Linked DNA regions of Drosophila melanogaster. The protein of the gene in region 1 purifies or fractionates together with the protein of each later gene. This does not show direct contact. Each region holds a gene or a part of one and is shown on either strand. Other genes may lie near its edges.

Region 1 (3,727 bases):
TGGCAGATGAATATACAATAATTAAGGGTTCGGTCGGCTGTCTTGGAAAAAGCTTAAAAAGCCAGCTGGGCCTGCTAATTAAACGAAAACATTATTACCATTTGAGAATTTAATCTTGCAGACACAATATTTTGAGTCAAGTATTAATTATGCCCTATTACTAATCCAGGCGATCATAAGATAGATGTGGTCTCTGGGTCGCCTAACTGCCACATTTTCGGCACTCCAATTGAAATCCAACTTTGCAGCGAATAATTTCAAGTTGTCTAGCTCCGGAGTTTGCCCATTGAGAAAGTTTTCCGGGTGAAACAATAACTGCAGCTGCTCATCACGCCCAACTTCTGTCCCAGACTTCTAGATACCAGAACCCAATCCCACACCCCGCCCATCACCGGTGCCACCTGTCGTGGCGGAGAGCAACAGCTCCTCCTGGTTTTTGGCAGATCCTGGCTTACACCAGGTTGGGGAATTGCAAATAAATATTTCAACTGCAGTTGCAGATTATTTTAGTGCTACGGCAACTGGGAAAGTCGTAACAATGCAGAATGGCAGCAACTAAGGCAAACAGCTAGCCAGGTCCGGAGTAGCTCCTCTGGGGGGCAGCAACTTGGCTTAGATTTCTCCGGGGACCTATGATAAAGTGCTCCCCATAATGAAGACAAAATACGGAGATGCCGAGAGGAGCCAACTTTATGGGGTGTTTTTGGGCAAGGTGCCCGCTATTTATTCAGCCTCGCACAATTTCAATTTGTATCTGCTCGTATCCGTTCGATTACTTTCTGTTCAGATTGTAGTTCCTCAGATAGATGCCAGCGAGAACCTCCTGGATGCGGCGACGTCGCTTGTCCTGCATCAGTATGGAGACCAGATGCTTGGGACTCAATCCCCTGTTGCTCTGGCGATCCATGGCATCGATCTCGTCCTCGCTGATCACGTCCTCCTCGCGATCATCGTCAGCCTGGCTGATTGGTCCATCGGCCAGGGGAATCTCCGCATTTCCATCCTCGGCCGCGTTGACCACCTCGGAATCATCCTCGAAGAGACTTCCATCGGCCAGGTCGTCCAGGTTGAGGCCCTGCAGCAAATCGGAAATGGTGGGCACGAAGGCGCTGCGCCGTGAGCTAGTGGAGTTGGAGCTGTTAGAGCTGGCGGGCAGGTAGATGCCCTGCATGTTGTTGGGGTTGATGATCAGGTAGGTGGGGCCTCCTCCCACAGTGTTCCAGTCCATGCCGGGAAACGGTGGCGGAGGACGGTTTTGAGGTGGTGGTGGTGGGTAGTACGGGTAGTAGGGATAGTTGGGGTTGTGGTGGTGGTGTCTATCCGATTCCTGATTCGAGCTGGGCTGCTGCACTATGATGATGGGCTGCTGGGAGTTGCGGTGGCTCTCCTGGTCGCCGCGCTTGATGTTCCACAGCAGGCGAGGAACGATCTTGGAGAAGGCTGTCCAGAGACGAGTGTTGGATGAGTGTCCTCTGGGTTTTATTCATATTGACTTACCATTTTCCTTTCTGTTCTTGCCGTTGGAGGCCTGCTGGGCTGCACAAAAGGCAACCAGAGTGGCGAGGAGAATCAAGACGCTCAGGGTTCTCATGGTATGTCAATCGATAGCTGCTGGAGATGACTGTGCTCATCCACTGGCTATCTATTGCTATTTATACAAAAGAACTTCTTCTGCTGAAAGTTCAGTGCGAATTTCACAACCTAACTGGGTAACTGGGCATACTCGGAATTTATTCATATCAGCTCGTAAATCAACTTTGGCCCAACGCACTCCTGCCTCACGTTTATTACACTCGTAAAGTGAGTCTTTTGAATGGATTCACGGGTTTTCTTTCGCCCTCGGCCGCTTTCATGATCGATTTAGCACTAAGTAGTCTCCTACAGTTTATTTTAAATGTTTGTACTTTCAGTGCCTCTGGGCGCTAATGTGTTTAGTTTATAGTCGTCGTCGACGTAGATATTTATGATCTGTGTACAAAGGCCGGCAGATTGCCGATCGGATCTTTGCGAACTGAATTAGAGGACATTAGCCCCAACATTTGAATCATTGAACTTGGGAAGAGTTTAGAAAGCCAGTGGTCTCGTTTCCAAAAATATAAATAGATGACTAGTGCTGAGCTCTAGGTATAATAAAAATAAAAGCATGTCTCTCCTCCTACGGATGCCATTTGATTCACCATAATAAACCCATTTCCTGTTTTCGGACTGGGCAAACAGGGCCAATGTTAAAAGAGCAAATACTATCTGAACGAATATCCGTTACCAGAGGCGGTAAAAGTAAAAGTTGAGACCATTTCATCCTGTGCAATCAAAGGCCAAAGACAACAATGAGTCCTGTGTATAGCACACGAGGTAAATATTATTTAAGAAATCAAAACACGTAGCCTACACAAAGTACAAATCGCACTCAATCAAAATCACCTCAAGACCGCACACAGTTCCAAAGCTTCCCAGATGGAATCCCGCCTTTCAGACGGAGCACTTCGAGTAGCAGTCGTAAGTAAAAATAAATAAGAGGCCACAGGACTTCAGCTGGAGCAGAGGGGCATCGGCAAACAGCAACAGGAGCGAAAACAGAGGACCCAAAACCCAGCACAGAAAACTGTCATGTACGAGGATTTAGCAGATTTAAATTCTATTAGGCCGGGCCAGAAAAGCTGAAGGGAGGAAAGTGGGAAAATAGCTGAAGAAAAACTGTGCGCAATCTTTATGCTCCCACAGTCCATGGAAATCACTTTGAGAAACTGACATTTAATATTGACCACAGGCCGTTGGACAAGAGATTCTGTTGGTCGTGCCGTCTGGTCTTCAACTCGTACATATCGGCTTTTCTATGAAATGAATGGAAATTTATTTAGAGCTTTCAATACTGGCTAATAGAGAACTAACTAACTGAGGAGCCAGTGCAGCCTTAAATTAAATTACTTCTCTGTCAATGAGAAGGTCTACAGTATTAATTGCACAACAATTATAGGATAGCTAGTCTGAGTTCTCAGTATTCAGATTTACGTAAGACATTGAAGGTTGTGGTAATATAACTTTTAAATATGCTTTAATTTTTAACTTCTAGCTAACATTATCTAATCAGTATGTATCCTTTGTAGAAAAGAGGTCGTCATCCTCCTTATTATATCCTTTAAAAAGATTTACATCACTTTAAACTCATCAACTCATCATGATGGCCAAGCATTACGCAGCCCCTATTAAAAATGATTTGGGCCAAAGCGGCGTCATTAAATGGACGTTGTGAGATAATTTGGGCCATCAAAGCCTAAAACCCAATGGTGTCCAAGTTGGAGGGTGGTTATCCTTGAGGCCTCGCAGCTCCGGCCACTTAGCCTACATTTGGAACGGCCTGTGTGCAAACATTTATCGATTGCCGTGACAATCCAATTCGTTATGCTGAAATCTACGGGCTTCCACAGGCGGTCAGTCCGCCAGTTTTAGAGGCACTGGAGGAGGGCTTTGTGCGGGGAGCTCTCTGTTCGGGCAAATACAAACGGCTACAAACGGCAAAAGAGACTGCATCTGGCTCAGCAGGATGGAGTCGGCCCCGTGTACCACCTCACTGGCACAAATTTGCATCTGCTCTAGCATTTTTAGGTAAATTGACAGTTAAGACGGAACTGGACCATCCCCAGTTCAAATAGTGGGCGAAGCAAAGCTTTTTGCCGCAGAAGGACGAGTGTTTTTGTGGTGACTTTGCCAATGCGGGGGGACCGAAGAA
Region 2 (3,140 bases), 1.6 Mb from region 1:
TGTGGGCACCCCAGGAGCTTGGCCGTTTGTTGAGTGGTTCAGGTTCTGATTATTGCTGTGATTTGCTCCACTATTACTACTTCCTGCCGGCGAGGAAAGGGTATAGACCTCATAGTCGGTGATGGTAAAGTTATAGTCCCCGAAAAGTGTCAGGTGAGCAGCGTTGGTTCCGTCGTAGGAATGCGGAAGATTCGAGTATGAGTCCATGTTTGTATTACAGTTGCTGGAAATGAGCAGATCGGCTCCAGCACCAAAAATGGGACCGCAACTAAAGGGGAAAGCAGACATGGTAATCAGTACGAATTCCTAAACATAATGTAATATATAAGATTATTTTAGACATCACTTACTCAGGATGATAGCAAATGGCATATGGTTTCTTTACAATATCAAACTTGACCGGCTGTTCCCCATTGGCTGGATTCAAGGCAAAGAGGAAGGCTCGCTCGGACTGAACATATCCCCCCTTTCGGCTTGTTTTGGCCCACGCCACATCCGTATAACCACCACTGATCTCTCCATGCGATCCCAAGCCAATAACCATGCAAGGAGCCACGCCGTCGCAATAACGATGAAAGGCTCCAGAATCGTAGCCATGAGTGGACGCTCGGAAAACTAATCTCCAGGATTGCTTGCCCACTCCAACCCAATTATTGAGAACAGTCTGTAGTGCCAGATTGTCATTCTTCAGGATTTGGGATCCGGGAAACATGTTGACCGCTACAGCTAGGCGGGGCTGAAGTCTCTTATCGTTATCCATCATCTTATTGGCATGCAAAGCGGCATAGCGATATCGTTCTAGGGATAGTTCCATAGGTACAGCTCCTGTAGGTTCCACTTCCTCCGCGAAAACTTGGCTATCGATGAGAAGCAGACGCACGTGACCCATTACACCGCTTAAGTGTTGGCAGACACGAGCACGCTCCTCCTCAGTCCAATGTGCAGTGGGTTGGGTGACTCCTGCCTGGTATTTGGCCCAGGATAAAACGCAGCGCCACACTTCCTCCTCTTCCAAGCAGAACTATTGGTAGTTAACAGTTTTGGTAATTAAAGAAATTCAGTAAATTGAGTGGTTATTCATTATAAACTCTTACATAGTCTGAGGAAATAATCTTAATAATGGCATCCTTTGTTAAAGTAAGGAAGGCATTAGTCTTAACGCACTCATTTGCATTTTCCCCTATGTAGATGATGCAGCGTTCCATAAACGAGGCAGCGCATTTGGCACCTGAAATTTAAAGGGAAAGTTTAAAATTAATTCCTTGTTTTTTAAAGACACTCAACGGCTTTTACCTTGAGACAGCATCCTATTCTATATGTCCTGAAATCGGATCGTATTTGCTACCTTACCCATTAGAAACACTTGATTACAGAAAGTCTACCATTTATTTCAACATTCGTCTTCAGATATCGGCTTTACATTTATTTTACTTATATTAAGGGCGTTCAGCGTTTGCAGGTGGAATTCGAAGGATTCGCAGGATGGCCGCTGAGTCGCCTAGTCCTTCGTGGGACTGACGTTCTGTATGAGCGTGATGTTGTCGCCCTTGAGCATGATCCTCCCGAGGTTGCGGCGCTGCCGGGTCTTCACATAGACTTCCTCGGCGTCGTCCAGCACCAGATTCATGTACTCATCGAATCCCACAATGTGGCCCTCGATGCGCAGCGATATGTTCTCGTATAACCAAACTTGCACGCGGGACCGGTTCTGCAGGTAACGGAAGATCAGGTTGATGGGCTGCACCATCACCTTCTGCACCTTGGGATTTCCTTTGAACGACATTTTTGCTGATTTCCGACGACTTAATTTGAGTTAAACAAATTTTCGCTTCTTTTTGCCGGCGTCTTCTTTTCGTCCAGGCGATAGGCAGAAATATCGATGGCACAGCACAGATGGTCACACATAATCGCGGCCTACCGAACTATCGACCAGCCTAAAGATACCAAAATGGTAAATCCTCTGGTAGCATAACCATATCGATAGAAACACTATCACAATCGCACTGTTAAGTTTTTGTGGTTGGGCAGAAGTTGTTGCCATTTATTCATAGCTGAATTAAACTATAGTTTATAAAGAAAACCAAACAAATGGCTATGGCTAATGTGGACAAAGGTGAACTTATGGACCAGGTTAAGCAACAGATTGCTGTTGCGAATGCCCAGGAATTGCTCACGCAAATGACCGAAAAGTGCTTCAAAAAATGTGTCAATAAGCCGGGAACTTCCCTCGATTCGTCCGAACAGGCAAGCTATACATATCTTATTTTGCACTATAGAATATGTATTTAAATAGTATTTCATTAATATCCAATTTAGAAATGCATTTCCATGTGCATGGACCGGTTTATGGACTCGTGGAACCTCATTTCTCGGGTGTACGGCCAAAGAATACAACGTGAACAATCCAAGTTCTAAACACACGAATCGGCTTCTGCATTTTGGAGCAGCTTGGGACTAACTATATCTGCCAGCTATTGATTAGTTGTTATATCTAAAGTTTGATAATGCAATAAAAACATGCATTGCGTGTTACGTGATTCTGATAACACAACGTGCATATGTTTTTTCTTATCGATATGTGATGTGGTACAAAAAATACCAAAACTTTCAGAATGGTTAGTCTCAATACATTTGACATAGCATATTATGTAGAATGTATAAAGTGTTTTGGCGCGAATATGCAACTTCACATAATTGCTTACTTTTAAAGGTGTGATTTTCTAAAAGAGCTACTCAATATTACTAACCTGCTTTTTCGTGTATATCCATAACGGCGGTTAAAAATGTGCAGGCATTATCCACCGACAATGTCGATATAACGTGATCCTCGCAGGCAGTTCGTAGCTCAACCACACCGATATCCTGTGCCAATATCATCATTTGAAATACTTGCGAGTCCTGGAGAACCAACTGAAAAATGAATTTTGGTTATAATTTTATTATGTTAGATGTTACTAATAAGTAGTTTTCTTACCTTTGCGGTGTAAACGTACAAGATGAACTGCCTGAATAGTTCCGGATTCACGTGTGGTAATCGTATGGTGGTCGGAGTTGAAGCTCCTGGGGCTGCTGGCGATACTGTGCATCCGGGAATTCGACACACTTCACCTCTCTTCGCAGTCTTGAAGCTCTTGCACCTG

The links.
Region 2: the proteins of CG13983 (region 1) and CG34132 purify together in Drosophila melanogaster (affinity purification with mass spectrometry, with the first as the bait; one large-scale study listed by BioGRID). This does not show direct contact.

Annotation. Positions count from the first base shown.
Region 1 is NT_033779.5:6,262,863-6,266,589, forward strand, and holds CG13983 (uncharacterized protein), read right to left. Parts: upstream 1,629-3,727; 5' UTR 1,592-1,628; coding exon 1,498-1,591; intron 1,441-1,497; coding exon 773-1,440; 3' UTR 695-772; downstream 1-694.
Region 2 is NT_033779.5:7,883,561-7,886,700, forward strand, and holds CG34132 (uncharacterized protein), read left to right. Parts: upstream 1-1,942; 5' UTR 1,943-2,088; coding exon 2,089-2,244; intron 2,245-2,316; coding exon 2,317-2,415; 3' UTR 2,416-2,549; downstream 2,550-3,140. Other genes in the region: CG7102 (uncharacterized protein), read right to left, coding at 1-268, 351-1,021, 1,095-1,228, 2,748-2,910, 2,975-3,137; small ribonucleoprotein particle protein SmE, read right to left, coding at 1,499-1,783.